Rattus norvegicus: one gene and its partner. The protein of the gene in region 1 interacts with the protein of each later gene in a pairwise test. Links are inferred from orthologs where the notes say so. Each region holds a gene or a part of one and is shown in the gene's direction. Other genes may lie near its edges.

Region 1 (7,809 bases):
TCCTCTCACCTATCCCTGGTTCTTCCCTATATAATCCAAACACTCTCTCTCTCTCTCTCTCTCTCTCTCTCTCTCTCTCTCTCTCTCTCTCTCTCTCTCTCTCTCTCTTCCTCCCACCCTCCCTCCCTCTCCGTTTGCGTTTTGCGTTTTCTTCCCCTTCTCCTCCGTCTCTCCTTCCGGTGTGGTCAGTGAACTCACCCAAGAGCTGCCCCCATAAACCGGGCTTGAGCTGTCCCGTTTCCTTGGCAGAGGATATCACATGACGTTTCCATACGTGAATATTTACCCCGTTATTCCTTCTCTTATTCATCCCCTGCTCTCTCCCCTCCCACATCGCTAAAAATAATTCTCTGTTTACTTTCATGTCCTTCTAAAAGGCCGTTCCAGAGTCCCCATGTGAGAGAAAACATGTGATGTCTGTCTCTATGACCACAGCGACCTCGGGCTCCGTCCGTTTTCATGCACTTACCTCTCTCTGGGTGTGTGATGTTTGTCTATGTGTGTGAGGTTAGGGGAGGATGTTAGGTGGCCGGCTTTATCATTTTTTTACCTTGTTCCCTTGAGACTGAACTTGGAGCTAGACTGAGGCCAGCAAGTCCCCGTGGTTCTGTCTCTTAACGGTGCGGGACGCTTGTGGAGATATACCTGGTTTTTTAAAATTTAATTTAATTTAATTTATTTTTTTTTTGCTGTTTTGTATTTTGGAATATTTATTTGAATTACTTTTCTTTCTTTCTTTTTTTTTTACAATCCAGCCATTGCCCCCCTCCCTGTCCCCAGTCCCGCAGTTCCTCATCCCATTCCTCCCCCCCACCCCCCATCTCTGAGAGGATGTTCCCCACCACAATTTTATTTTTTTGCTTAATCACTTTACATCCTGCTCACTGGCCCCCTCCTGGTCACCCCTCCCACAATCCTTGCCCTATCCCCTCTCCCCTTCTCTGAGAGGGTGGGGACCCCCCTGGGTATCCTACCACCCACACACCTGATTTTTTTTGTGTGTGTGGGTGCTTGGATCAGAACTCAAGTCCTTATGTTTGTGCAAGTGCTTTTACCTACTGAATGATCTTTCCAGCCCCTAGGATACGTAATTTTAAGACTGTGTGTGTGTGTGTGTGTGTGTGTGTGTGTGTGTGTGTTTTGCCTGCATGTATATATGTGTACTATACGTCTGTCTAATGTCTGAGAAGGCAGAAAATGGCACCATATCCACTGGAACTGAGTTACAGAGGTTATAGGCCACATATGTATTCTGGGAATTGAAGTCAGGTCCTCTGTAAGAGCAAGTGTTCTAAACAACTGAGCCATCTATCTCTCCAGCCCTTTCTTCTCCTCCTCTCCCTCCTCCTCTTCCTTCTCCTCTCCCTCCTCTGCCTCCTCCTCTTCCTCTCCCTCTTCCTCTCCCTCCTCCTTTTGAGACAGGGTCCTAGTGTGTAGCCCAGACTGGCCTGTGAAGTCATGATCATTCTGCTTAGCCTGAGTACAGAAATAAACAGATGCCATCAGGCCAAGGTTCTTCATTCATTTGGTACTGATTTATTATTTGATTATTTACTCATATTTGGAGACAAGGACTCATTCCTTAGATTAGCCTCAAACTCCTTTGGTAGCCAAGGATGATCTTGAATCCTTAAGACGTATGCCTCTACATCATGAGTTCAGGAGTTGTAGTGCCTGGTTTACGAGGTGCTAAAAATACAAGTATGTCTGCATAGTAAGCAAACACTTTACCAACTGAGCTACATCCTCAGCTCGGATAGATAGATTGATTGATTGATTGATTTTGAGATAGGGTGTCACTTTGTAGCCCAGGCTGGCCTTGAACTTGAAATGACTAAGTGACCCCTCCTGCTTTAGTCTCCAAGTGCTAGAATTACAGGTGTTACCCACTGATTTTGTTGTTTTGTTTGGGTTGAGACAAGGTGTCGTTGTGTAGTCCAGGATGGCCTGTAACCTTGCCATCCTGCCTTCACATCCATAGTGCTGGGAACAACAGGCCTCACCACTGTGCCTAGACTTCTTTGTAGTCTGGGAACTGAGCTGGGTCCCTGTTCATGCTGGATGCTCTACCACAGAGCTGCATGCATTTCTAGTTGTCATTTTGAACTATAGTTTCACTAGCACAGGGTATACAGCTTGGTAGAGCGCTTGCCTAGTAGGCACGGAATCCTGGGTTTGATGCCAGAACTGCATGAACCAGATGTGCTTGTGCACACCGGTGATGCCAGCACTTGTGGAGGCAGGATGATCATCAGTTCAAGGTCAGCCTCCGATACACAGGGAGTTTCAGGCCAGCCTGGACTACATAAGACCCTGATTCCAAAGAGATAGGGAGATAGGTGTGTGTGTGTGTGTGTGTGTATGTGTGTGTGTGTGTGTGTGTGTGTGTGTGTGTTGTCTCACTAAACTGTCCAGAATGGCTTTGAATTTCTGATTCTCTTGTGTCGGGAGTGGTGTTAATGGCCGTTAGTCTCTGGAGGCTGAGGCAGGCAGATTTCTGAGTTTGAGGCCAGCCTGATCTACAGATAGAGTCCCAGGACAGCCGGGGCTACACATAAAGCCCTTTCTCAAAAAACAAACAAACAAACAAACAAACAAACAAACAACCAAAAAAGATACCAGCGTACTGGGATTACCTGCGCACCACCAGCTGGCTTTTGTTCCTATGGCTTCTTTGTGTACACTCCTTTCCTTTCAGTTCAGTAAGCAACTCGAGGCAGAAGGAGCTGCTGCGAAAAGGACAAAGTTCAGGCTAGGAGTGTTAACGCTAGTCTTATGAGAATTTTTTTTTTAACAACAGTTCCTTCTGCGAACCACCAGCGGCACAAGGGAGGGAGGTATTTCTAGCCACTGCCTTTACCTGGTTTTGCCATCTCTGATGAAAAGAGGAATAAGGCGAGGAAGTCCATGTTATTGCCTTGCCAGCATTAGCGTCTTTTCTCGCATCTCCACTAACCACTGGTTAATCCAGGAGCAAGGGAACTAAGGCTTTGTTAATCTTTCCCCAGAAGGAGGGCCCAGGCTCTGACGTGTTATAATTGACGCATGAAACGGTTCTAGACAAGGGCTTCCTCCCTCCGGTTTTCTCAGCTCAGGAGTTCTAGAAAATAGAGAAGCTGGGGTCATAAAACCCTAGTCCAGAACGTTGGGAGACTCCTAAGACGTGAAGCTAGGGGCTTTCTGAAAGTGTTTATTCTGACTTCACCCAATGCCACCCAACCCACACCTTCTGCGGGCTCGGGGATTGGGGGCAGGGGCTTGAACAAGGACGGAGAGGGAGGTGCGTGGTTGGTTCTCTGTGGGTTGAGGTCTGCAGAAGAGCATTTTGACACTTTGCCTCAGTTCTGTCTTTGGGCAACTCCCGGCCGCCCTGCGTCCTCTGGGCTCCGGACTCGCCTACTCCCGAACCAGAGAGAACCAGACGGTGCTGGGTTGGAGAGGGCTCCGGGAACCCTGAGGTCCGGCTCCTGGCTCGAGGCTTCCGGGCAGCGGCCACGTGGCCTGTCCAGGCGGGGGGCTCACCTCCCCTGCTAGCCCGGGTGACTCAGGCCGCAGCTGTTCCCGCGTCACATGAGAGAGGGAGGGAGGGAGGGAGGAAGGCGGCCACCCTGCGGGGGTGGGGGCGGCCGGAGCCGGGGCGGGGCCGTGCGGCAGGCGGGGCGCGGGCAGGGGGCACAGGAGACGGCTGCTGAGCCGCGGTAGGAGAGCATCAAGAAGCGTCGGGGAGCGCAGGTGAGGCCCGGGTTAACGCGGGCCCGGGGACTCCGGGGACGCCCGTGGGGACAACTTTGCCTCGAAGTTCGCGGGGCGCCACCCGTGCGGCCCTCGAAGGGAGGCTCGCGCCCGGGGGGCTGGCGAGTGTCCTGGATCGCGGCCTGTAGGGGTCGGGATTCCGCGCTGGGCGGCGACCGGCGGGGGTCCACCCGGAGTCCGGCTGCGCCCTCCGTGCGTCCCGGGATCCCGAGGCACCATTCCCTGGTGCGCGCCCCCACCCCAGTCCGGCCGCGGAGCGGGAGGGCAGGGAGGGCGCGGAGACGTGGATCTGACTGCGGGTTTCTGGGTGGGAGGGCCCCGATGGGGGCCGCGCAGGGAAGGCTGCGAAGGCCGGCGGGGAGCTGCGGATCCGGCGGCCCCTCGGCCTGCTCTAATCCTTGCGCTCTCTTGCGGCCCCAGGCCCAGCAGCCATGGCGGTGGAAGGAGGAATGAAGTGTGTCAAGTTTTTGCTCTACGTTCTCCTACTGGCCTTTTGCGTGAGTAGTGCGGGGAGGGCGACGGGGCGCGCGGGCGGGGTGCCGGTGAGTCTTGGAGCGGGAGCCGTGAGGAACGAGGGACCCAGAAATGAAGGCAGCTGGAGGCCAGATGTGGAAGCAAAGCTGGAGAAAAGGCCAAAGGCAGAATGTGTCCGTGTCCGTCACCCCTCCCCCGCCCCCCCCCCCCCCGCCGCTTTCCTCTGAGGAAAGTTTGGACCGAGAATTGCCACCCTAGATGCGGAGCACCCCTAACCAACCCCCTCCTGGCCCTTCCTGTCTGGTGACCCAACCATTTGTGATATGGGGTGGTGGGGCAACCTGCCAACGGTCTGATGGTATCGCCAAGGGGCTGCCTCCACTCCTCACCCTGTTGATTCATCTCCATTCTCTCAGCCCTCTCATTTACTTGGGAGAAGGAATGGCTCCAACCCTCCTTCATTTGCTCCTGCCTGGAGAAACTGTTGTTTGTTCAGAAAGGGGCCATCTTACCCCCTCTTCTTCCTCCCCGGCCTGGCTGGCCCTAGGACCTGAGTCACTGGAGTGAGGGAGTAGTTCTGGGAGAGACCCGAGCTAGGAGTCAATAGAACAAAACGCACGTCCTGGGCTGAAGAGCTGTTTAGAGGCAGGCATGACACCTCCTGATTCCCTTCTCCTTATGTGTCTCAAACAACTTCCCAGCCTTCCTTGTGGGGCAAGGACGGGCGAACCTTCTCTATAGCCAGTGTTTCCTGGAGGTGTAAGAATCCATTTTCTGGCTGGGGGTCGGGTGTGAGGGCTGAGGACTGAGGAGCTGACCCAACCCTCACCTTTTCCCTCAGGCCTGCGCAGTGGGATTGATTGCCATTGGCGTAGCAGTTCAGGTTGTCTTGAAGCAGGCCATTACCCACGAGACTACTGCTGGCTCGCTGTTGCCTGTGGTCATCATTGCAGTGGGTGCCTTCCTCTTCCTGGTGGCCTTTGTGGGCTGCTGTGGGGCCTGCAAAGAGAACTACTGTCTCATGATTACAGTGAGTGGGGTGTGGGAACTCCTGGGACTACCAGAAGGTATTCTGTGGTGAGGTGGGTGGATGAAGGAATTGACTGGGCCAGAGCAAGCCCTTTAAATCCAGACTTCAGACTCAACTCCTGTCCTGTCCTCCTGCAGTTTGCCATCTTCCTGTCTCTTATCATGCTCGTGGAGGTGGCGGTGGCCATTGCTGGCTATGTGTTTAGAGACCAGGTAAGCAGGGAACAAGAGGAACCTGTCTCAGGATGCTCTGGGAATCTGGGGCCTGAAGTCTGTTCTCAACAACACACTCCTCTACTCTTAGGTGAAGTCAGAGTTTAGTAAGAGCTTCCAGAAGCAGATGCAGAATTACCTTACAGACAACAAAACGGCCACCATTTTGGACAAATTGCAGAAGGAAGTGAGTGGGATGGCTGGGAAGAGGGTGAGGCGGGATGGAAGATTCTCATCTCTGAATTAGAATGGAGGTTCCACAGTTTAGCGACTTTCCCTCCCATCCCTCCTCCGTCAGAATAAATGCTGTGGAGCCTCTAACTACACAGACTGGGAGCGCATCCCCGGTATGGCCAAGGACAGGGTCCCCGATTCTTGCTGCATCAACATCACTGTGGGCTGTGGAAACGATTTCAAGGAATCCACCATCCATACCCAGGTAGGGAGAAGACATCACACGAGGGAAACTTGGGGAATGTTTCAGGAGGCAGGAGATGCTATCAGGATCAGAGTTGGGGATAGGGGTTGGGAGGATAGGAGAAAGGGGCCGAGGGAGGGAAGGAAGGAGGTAGGTAGACGCTTCTGTTAGTAGTCATGCCCGCCTTTTCTCTTCAGGGCTGCGTGGAAACTATAGCGGCATGGCTGAGGAAGAACGTACTGCTGGTGGCTGGAGCAGCCCTGGGCATTGCTTTTGTGGAGGTGAGGAATGCTGTGGGTTGTGGGAGGGCGGGCCTGGATCAGCTCAGGGCATCTGGGGAACAGGAGGCACTCACTGGCCTGGGAACAGTGGCTGTTGAGTGGGTTTGGGGAAACTTGCCCTGTCTTCTTCCCACCCTCATTTCTATCCTTCCTTTCAGGTCCTGGGCATTATCTTCTCCTGCTGTCTGGTGAAGAGTATCCGGAGTGGCTACGAAGTAATGTAGGGTGGGGGCGTGTCTGAGCTCGTCTGTCTTTTCATGGAGTGGACTCTCCAGGTTTTCAATTAAACGGATTATTTTTTCAGACCTAGAGAAGGAGATGGTCTCAGTTTGTCTTAGAGTGATGGATGGCCCCTTCCTTTTCCTTCTCCCTGCCTCTGCCTGAGAATAGGCAGGCATATTTGGGGGGTGGGGTGGGAAAAGGATTATTTATTTGAGGGTGGAAGAGGTGGGGAGTCCGGAGGAGGTTGTGACTGAGTGTCCCTGTGCCCCTCGGTTTGTGTTGCCTTCAAACTGTTTCCGCAGCACCCATGAGGACAGCTCCTGCATGAGTCGCAGGGGAGCTCCACAAAGGTCCTCCTGGGTAGAGCCTGGACAACTCTCTGCTTTGAGGCCCAGTGAAGTCCTCCCTGAGCCCTCAAGGAGAGTGTTTAAGTTGCTTGAGGCCTGTGTGGCAGTGTCCCCGATTTTTGCCTTAGATAACAGGGGAGTTTAGGTATTTCTGTCATGGAAGCCACCCAATACGGCAATTTCCGCCACTTTCCCTTCTATCCCCAAGAAAATTAGACAATGGTGTTCCTGGTGCAAACACAATTCTTACTACTCTGCCGAGAAAGTGCCCTCTGGTGGCCATCTCTCCAAGTGCAGCTCCAAAAAGCATGTGTAGTTGCAAGGTAGCTCCTCACAGCACCCAGTGTACAGTAGAAGCTTTGCAGGCATTAAAGAGGCCGGTGGGTTTGCTTCCTCCGCTGCTTAGGGATCTCAGGTACTCAAGTCTTGTCAGGCCCCACGGGCACCTTCATTTCTGTACGCCTGCTTTTCGATTTAAAGCGATATACGTATTTATTTACTGAGAGCCTAGTTTGTGTCAGAAGCCAGCCAGCGCGGATAGAGACAGAAGGAGATGCCTTGTCCTCCGAAACCAGCCTCTTGCTGTAAAGCTGGAGTCAGTAGATTGACTGGGCAGGCCGGGGAAGGACCCAGGCGAGCACAGCATCCACCACCCTGGCTGGAAGGTAGGAGGCAGGCAGCCAGAGAAGCTTGGCATCCCAGCCTGGGCTGTACCGTGTTCGGGGATGGCGGGCAGTCAGGGCATGCTCCAGGCAGCTTGTCACCTTCGTTAGGTCTGGGTCACAGATTAGGTTCATGATGCGGCGCTGCACTTGAAGATCTGTAGCTTGGAAGATGCCGTAGTCAGCGTTCATGCTCACACTGCCTCTCCTCCATCCCATGCTAGATCCTTGGGCTGGTTGCCAGGATCAGGAAGTGACTGCCTGCCCTTTTCCTCCCTTCCAGGTCTGACCTTTCTGACCCTCTTTTTCCCATCACGCACCCAATATGGGTCCAGCTACTCACAAGTAGTGAGGAAGGCTTCTCCGTAGTGGGCCTGTGTAGCTGGAGGTAGCCGGGCCCAACAAGCCTT
Region 2 (7,877 bases), on another chromosome or scaffold:
TCGTGTGATCATTCTGCCAGCTCTTAGCAGAGGAGAGCAGCCTATACTCCTAAAGCAGCATGTACTCCACACTCCTAAGTGTCTTGGAGCACACACATAGGCTACCTCGACTTGCTCTCACCAATACAACAGAAGGATATATAACAGAGCCACTCATGCAGTATACACACACACACAACTCTAGAGGCACACAGTAAATGGACATATGCAGCACTCACTGGCATGCCCACAGCAAACAGAAGGATCAATACAACATACAGAATGTGAATGCATTCACATAACCAAATCTCTGTAACTCAGACCTCATCACATTTCTAGGTCCATGAAAAAAATTTCTAGACATTCAATGTATTTTTCCCATATCTGCAATACAAACACACAGAAAATCAGATACACAGATAATACTCCTGGGCATGGATTCAGGCAAGTATGTGTTAAGCAAAGATGGGTTAAGTCTTCCTGTGCCCCAGGCTAGGCAAAGGGTATGGGAACTCTAGCCCCACCATACCCCATGTGCAAATACAGAGCCCCTTGCCTCCTCCTGACAGGGGCACTGGGTTGGCAGTTCCCAACAAGCACAGGAAGCCCCGTACTCTAAGGGTGACTGATTGACCTTTAGGTCTCTCCCTCTCTCTACAATCTCCTACTTTCTCATTTCCCAAATGAGTGGTGTCGTAGGGAGGCAGAGGACTGAGTTGCATCATTTTAGTAAGAGGGATGGTTGTAAAGGTGTCATCCAGGTAGTAGGTCAAGGAAACAATGCCCATATATGTGTGTGTGTGTGTGTGTGTGTGTGTGTGTGTGTGTGTGTGTGTGTGTGTGTGTGTAGGGAGAAACTTCCACTCAGGCATCTACTTATCACACAGAGAAGCTTGAGACAGGCATAGTTACACTTACAACAACCTTCCACTTTCAGAAGCAGCATACTCAGGCACACACCTGGCTTTCAGGAAGGAACATGGAGCACACCAAGGGACATATGCCACCCCCAGAAGCACAGATACACTACACACAGCTGTGCATACACAAGAATACAAGAATACCTTTTCCTATCTGCTGAGCTTTGTGGATCCTTTTCACAAACCTGCTTTGCTTCCTCTGTTCATGAACTTGAACACTGTGGGTGCATGTAAGTGTGTGCCTGTCACATGTGCATAAAGGTAGTTACATGGGATTTCTTGGGGAGCTGTAGCCTACTATCTTGGCCTTTCTTCTTCCTAAGGCCATACAAAATCCCAGGTAGTTACTGTCTTTCTGGGTCTCAGTTTCCTGATCTGTACAAAGGGAATAATTAAGATCAAACATGTAATACTCTGTGGATATCATCAGGTATTTGCACATGACAGCAGATCACTCTGGGAAACTTACACCTATCCAGTTTGGTAGATAGTCACAGGCCCAACACTCCTCTGTGATGTTCACCCCACTCCATTTCAAACCTGTATAGTAATCTGAATCCTCAATATAAACAGTTGGCAAAACTGTGCTGACTCAGGTTTCATAGTTACAGAGCTGTCGTCATAAGCAGAGTCATAGAAGAGGCGAGGCAGGACTTTCCCTGTCCTTACGTCTCCTCATTCCCGCCGCTTATTTACTCAGCCCCCTGTCTCATCCACATTCTCACTCCTCACTTTCACAATCAGATGGTTGAAAATTTTGGTTTCCTTCCCTTTCTCCTTTTCTTTGTACCTTCTCCCACCACTACAGTAATTTCTTCACTATCCTTCCTGGACAGGCCATTTGACTCCTTTCTGTCTCTGTTTACTCACTAAATAGTGAAAGTATGAATCATACCTCACGGATACATTGGGAAGAATAAGTCAATTACTTCAGAGAAAAGAAAATCTTAGTATACACATATAGTAAACCTGAATCTTCAAAGTATTGGTTACTATTATTGTTGTTATTAACACCTCTTCATTAAGTAACATTAAGGAACAAGGAGGACAATAGCAAACAAACAAACAAACAAAATTCCTGGGCTGGCAATTTGGCCCAGCAGATAAAGGTGCTTGCTGCCACCATGCCTGGTGGCATGGTAAGTTTGAGCCTCAGAACCCATAGGGAAGGAGGACTGTCCCCTGAAAGTTGTCCTCTAAACAATACAGGCATGCCATGGCATAAGTACAGGTACACACACACACACACACACACACACACACACACACACACACACACACAATGTAAAATACAAACCCTTTAAAAGAGTGTATTGTACACAGTGAATACTCTGTTGAGTGCTGGCAGGAGGTTTTTGTGTCCTGTGGTTATTGGACTAAGCTACCTAAGTTAATAAAATGTAATTAGCTAAAGTAAATTGTACATAAAGACCTTGGCAATGATATACAGTAAGTACTCAATAAGTAGCTGTGATCATCACTACCACATTCTCTCTGTCTCTGTCTCTCTCTGTCACAGGTTCTTCCTATGTATCTCTGGCTGTCCTGGAACTCACTGTATAGACTAGATACCCTCTAATTTTCTGGATCAGCTTGCCCCCTGGGATTAAAACCATTGTCATTACTATTGGTCTGTCCTCCCTATCTTAATTGAGGGTGGTAATCAGCCCATAGAATCCTTCTACAGGACCCCAGGGAATATTCCTGCATCATCAGAAAGCTGGTGGGCAGCAGTTGCCTCATTCCCACTCCCACCAGGGGTGTGGACTGGTTGGTGGGGGAAGGGGAAGACTGGATGGAGTAGGGATGGTGGTTTTTCTACTGACTCACTAGCTTTTACCATCATTCACCCCCTCCCTCCCCCCATCCCCTTGCAACGCTCACCACACCATTCCCTGCTTGTCAAAGATTGTACCCTGCTTGAGTTAGTATTCCAGGTCAGGAAGCCTAGGTTTAAATCTTTATTGTCCTGTGACCCTAACAAAGTTCTTCACTTCAGCTATTTGCCTGTTTGGTCTTGTTTCTGTTTAAGACCTTAAGGGTCTCTTGTAGCCAAGGATATCTTCAAACATCTTCACTGGTATGTGCAGCCACTGCAAAGTTTGGGGAAGAAGTCACTACCTGGGCTCTGTCTGTATGCAGCCTCAGTTCCCTCCCAGTTCTGCCACACTCAACTGCCATCCTGGATAAGTCATAGACACTCTCAGTGTTATCAATTTCCCCACTATGTATTTGTGCCCCTTCTCCCATGTCATGTCCCTCAACTGTTTTTCTAGTTTGTCTCTCCTCTGCCACCCCTCACCAGAATTTCAGATCCACAGGAAAGGCCTTCTTGTGAGATTGTTACATAGTAGATGAAAGGCGTGGGAAAGAAATTATTGGCTTCAGCCATAGGAAGTTTGGGGAATGTGGGAAACCGGAGAGGCACAAGGCTTCAGGGGCTTAAGCGGTCTTTATTCTTCCCTTCTTCCCTTCAAGGCCGCCAGGAAGGAATGTGCATGACGGAGCTGGGGGAAGGGGGCGCAGTGGGCTGGCTGGCAGAAGAGGGAGTACTTTGGGCTCAGCCTGGGGCCCGCCCCTAGGCTTTGACTTCAGCAGTGGGTGGATGAGTAATGCGTCCAGGAAGCCTGGAGGCAGTGATTTCCGCGCCAACCCCACCCCTCGCATGGACATTTATTCTCCACCGCCAGTCCCTGCCTCCATCACTGCTGATCCGGACTCCTAGAGACACGCTAGAGGTAAGTGGGAGCCGGGTGTCCTGGCAGAACTGGGGTTTGCTTGGAGCCTGTGTTGGTGCGGCCACGAGGCCCATCCAGTCCCTTGCCAGACTAACCATTCAACTTGGCTTGCAGGTATCAGGATCTCTAGTTAGCCAAGGGGGAATATAAAGGGAGAGCGTCCTGAATGATTGTCCCCAGCGGGACTCTCCAGACTCTTTCATGCTCTTAGCATTCATCTCAAAGTGCCCCAAACCCACAAGCCTTTAATGCCTTTAAAACTTCCTAACTTGCTAATTCCCCCAAATTTCTTCATTGTCCCTCAATCTTTACGGCTCCTGTAACACCCCTGTTCTCTTTGCCATGTCTAGCTCCTGGAACTTCAAAAATTCCTCTGCCTTCAAATTCCTGAGGTATTCCTATTACTGTAAACCTCCAAATTCCCCAAGACCCTTAACCCCCCATTTTCCCCAGCTCCCTAAAACCACAAACCTATTCTAAATCCCCCAATATCTCTGAACTTCCCAGCCCATTATATTTTAATAGCCCTAACTCCCCATTATACTTCTCCAGTTTCCCAAACTCCAAATTCATCACTACACAAATGTCAGATTTCCCCAATTCTGTTAAATTCTCAAAGTTCTCAGCTCCCTTATTCACCAACTGTGTTCTCTAACCTAAAGAGTTCCTGAGTCTCCCTAGAGCCAACGGCCATGTAAGCCATTGGTTTGGGAACCTACTAACACCTAGTCTTTACCAGCAGATACCACGATGGCGCCCTTTGCATCTCTGGCCTCTGGCATCCTCTTGTTGCTATCATTGATAGCTTCCAGTAAAGCCTGTAGCTGTGCCCCAACCCACCCACAGACAGCTTTCTGCAACTCGGACCTGGGTGAGTCTGTCCCTCTTTCTGTCTGTCTTAGTCTAGTAGGGATCATTACAGTAGTTGTCCCTAGGACAGTTCTACTTACCCTTCCGTACATCTGCTTTTGCCACACTGACATCCTTGGGCTTAAGCCCACCTTTGTGCTGGCTGCTCCCAGTACCATGTACATGCTTTTCTGTAGTTATCCACATGCATGGCTTTCTCAAAAGTCACCTTACTGAGGTGCCTGCCAACTTTCTTTAATTTTAATACCAGCCACATAGTACTTCTGATCCCTTGTTAGGACACAGAAAGGCAGACTTCATTTAGAACTATGATAATCAGAATTTACAGAGAGAGAGAGAGAGAAAGAGAGAGATTGATTTTAGATAGATATTGATATTGGGCTTAACTTTCAACATTGCATAGGCAAATGGAACTCTATGGCCAAAGAACAATTTAATGTTGATGAATGGGAAATCACTGAAAAGAAATATCAAAGGTGGGCTGGAGAGATGGCTCAGTGGTTAAGAGCACCAACTACTCTTCCAGAGGTCCTGAGTTCAAATCCTACCAACCATCTATAATGGGATCTGATGCCCTCTTCTGGTATGTCTGAAGACAGCACAGTGTACTCATATACATAAAATAAATCTTAAACAAAAAGAAATATCAAAGGCAAGAGGATTCAGGCTAAGTCCATTAAAAAGATTTATTTTATTTATGTGTATGTTTGTGTGTGTTCCATGTGTGGTGTATGGGTGCCTGTGGAGTTCCCAAGGCATCAGATCTCTTGGAGCTGGAGTTATGGATGGTTGTTAGCTACCCTATGTAGATTCTAGGAACCAAACTTGGGAACTCAAAGAGCAGCAAGTACTCTTAACCATTAAGCCATCTCTATAGACTTTAAGCTCACTCTGTTTTTGAGACTAGGTCTCACTATATAACTCAGGCTGGTCTTGAAGCCCTGATTCTTCTCACTCAGCCTTCCAAGTGCTGAGATTGTTAGGTCTGTGCCACCACACCTAGTTTAGGACTCTTGAGGAAAACTTGTCTGGTGGTCCCATCACATACTGTGGAGAATAAGATGAGGGTTGGTGTTTTCACTAAGCTAATTTAAGGTACTTCCCTACAACTGTATTTGAAAGAGAAACTTCACTAATGAGCTTGGAAGAAGGTTAATGAGCCTGAATAAATTGTGGTCAAGCAAAGAATATCTGTCAACTTCCTCTCTAATTTCCCAACACACTTAATAGCTTCTAACAATCCACATACCTTTTCTCCCTCCTCCATACTGGGGATTGAACCTAGGACCTAGGCAAACACCGCACAATTGAGCTACAAACCCAACCCTTTTCTTGTGAATTTTTATTTTTAAACAAGTTCTCGCTAAATTGTCTAGACTGGTCTTGAACTCATACTAAAGCGATCCTCCATCAAGCTCTGACAGAACTGGGGTTACAGGCCTGTGCCACCATTTCTGGCTACATAATGTTAGTCTGTTTCCTCCTGACTTGAATGTGAGCTTCATAAGGAAATAGATTCCTGTGTTTGGGTCATTGTCCTTTCCCTAAGACCCTGAACAGTGGTTGGCATACATCAGGCACTCCAAAACATTTGTTGAGTAAGCCAACAAATGGATATATGAAAAGGGCTTAAAACAGTGCTTAAAAGAATAGACAATATTTAGATGAATCAACTGATGTGGAAGCCATCAAGTGTGCTGTCTATTTGAACTATGTTGTATATGTTTTGCTGCTATGGGTTCATGCTGCCTGCCCATTTGAATCCTTATTTTCCCCTTCTTTTCCTCTAGTTATAAGGGCTAAATTCATGGGTTCCCCAGAAATCATCGAGACCACCTTATACCAGCGTTATGAGATCAAGATGACTAAGGTATTTCTACTCCCTCCCCTCATAGCAGTTACCTAACCTCTTCCTCCCACTCAAAATAGAAGCAACTAGCCTTTCGTTGGTGTGGATGTTTTCTGTAAACTTGTGTTTAGACATATTGCCATCAGGAAAGAGAGTGGAGTGGGAGGATTATGTCAGTAAATGATACAGTTTTTGTCACTCATGGGCAGATGCTCAAAGGATTCGACGCTGTGGGAAATGCCACAGGTTTCCGGTTCGCCTACACCCCAGCCATGGAGAGCCTCTGTGGATATGTCCACAAGTCCCAGAACCGCAGCGAGGAGTTTCTCATCGCGGGTGAGGCTCCGCCCCTTCGCCTTGGGCCACATTCCTTCATCCTTAGATGTTTTCTGGCAACTGGGAGGAGCTAGGCTCTAATGAGAAAGGGCCTGGTTGAAATGGGAGTGGGAGGGTCTGTAACTTAATGCTAATTAGGTGACCACTCTGATACCACCCAGCCAATCAAAAGCCTGTTGGTTTCTTGCCTCTCTTACAGGCCGTTTAAGGAACGGAAATTTGCACATCACTGCCTGCAGCTTCCTGGTTCCCTGGCATAATCTGAGCCCTGCTCAGCAAAAGGCCTTCGTAAAGACCTATAGTGCTGGCTGTGGGGTGTGCACAGTAAGTGCCTGGATCCAGTTTTCCTCCTGGAGATAAGTCTTGGAATGGTTTCTTTTTCCCTCTGACTATTATATGCCATTGAAGCTGCTTCCCAAACCCACTCACTATCTTTGATTTCTCTTGCCATTGTTCCAGCCTGGGACTGCTCTTTTGGAAATTCTGGTTGTTCTGTTATCTTGGGACTGCCTGTTCCCTGAACCTTCACTGTCTAACTTTCCTTTGTGACTATTCCGGGACACCACTGTCTGTTTCTGACCTCCCTAGATTGGATTTTGCTTCCCAGGCATAATCTGCAAAGATTCAAAGTACTATTCTCCAAATCCACCTGGACATGTCAGCCATCTGACTGTTTCAAAACTGTTCCCTGGTGGCACCAAATATCCTCTGACTAACTCCCCACACCCCTCATTGTCTGAGAGCTCTGTTGCCTTTTCTTTTTTTTTTCTTTTTTAAAATATTATTCATTTAATGTCTATGAGTCCATTGTAGCTGTCTTCTGATGCTTGAAATAGGGCATCAGATCCCATTCCAGATGGTTGTGAGCCACCATGTGGTTCCTGGGAATTGAACTCAGGACCTATTGAAGAGCACAGTCACAGCTCTTAACCACTGAGCCATCTCTCCAGCACCCTGCTGCCTTTTCTTATGCTTGCTCTCCCTGCATGCCAACTGTTCCCATACTATTACTTCTCTGCCCTGTGGGACAGTTCCTCAGGAGGTCTGCCTGAGTGACTTCAAGTGACAGTTCCATAACTACCATTGCAGAACATTGGCTTTCTGTTCCCCACATGGGAGAACATCTTGGGTCTAAGCACAAGTGGGGCAACATCAACCCTTCCCAGCAGCTCCCTGTTGCCAGAG

The links.
Region 2: the proteins of Cd63 (region 1) and Timp1 interact in binary tests that used the Homo sapiens proteins (3 or more experiments, as listed by UniProt). The link is inferred for Rattus norvegicus from reciprocal best matches to the Homo sapiens genes CD63 and TIMP1.

Annotation. Positions count from the first base shown.
Region 1 is NC_086025.1:1,918,461-1,926,269, forward strand, and holds Cd63 (CD63 antigen), read left to right. Parts: upstream 1-3,683; 5' UTR 3,684-3,732; exon of another isoform or gene 3,733-4,173; coding exon of another isoform or gene 4,174-4,184; coding exon 4,185-4,250; exon of another isoform or gene 4,251-5,068; coding exon 5,069-5,257; exon of another isoform or gene 5,258-5,394; coding exon 5,395-5,469; exon of another isoform or gene 5,470-5,560; coding exon 5,561-5,656; exon of another isoform or gene 5,657-5,767; coding exon 5,768-5,908; exon of another isoform or gene 5,909-6,084; coding exon 6,085-6,168; coding exon of another isoform or gene 6,169-6,326; coding exon 6,327-6,392; 3' UTR 6,393-6,475; downstream 6,476-7,809. Other genes in the region: Rdh5 (retinol dehydrogenase 5 precursor), read right to left, coding at 7,334-7,557, 7,743-7,809. UniProt on the Homo sapiens protein: Functions as a cell surface receptor for TIMP1 and plays a role in the activation of cellular signaling cascades. Plays a role in the activation of ITGB1 and integrin signaling, leading to the activation of AKT, FAK/PTK2 and MAP kinases.
Region 2 is NC_086039.1:3,766,859-3,774,735, reverse strand, and holds the start of Timp1 (metalloproteinase inhibitor 1 precursor), read left to right. Parts: upstream 1-3,613; 5' UTR 3,614-3,637; intron 3,638-3,987; exon of another isoform or gene 3,988-4,029; intron 4,030-4,376; 5' UTR 4,377-4,387; coding exon 4,388-4,508; intron 4,509-6,297; coding exon 6,298-6,377; intron 6,378-6,565; coding exon 6,566-6,692; intron 6,693-6,891; coding exon 6,892-7,016; intron 7,017-7,877. UniProt on the Homo sapiens protein: Metalloproteinase inhibitor that functions by forming one to one complexes with target metalloproteinases, such as collagenases, and irreversibly inactivates them by binding to their catalytic zinc cofactor.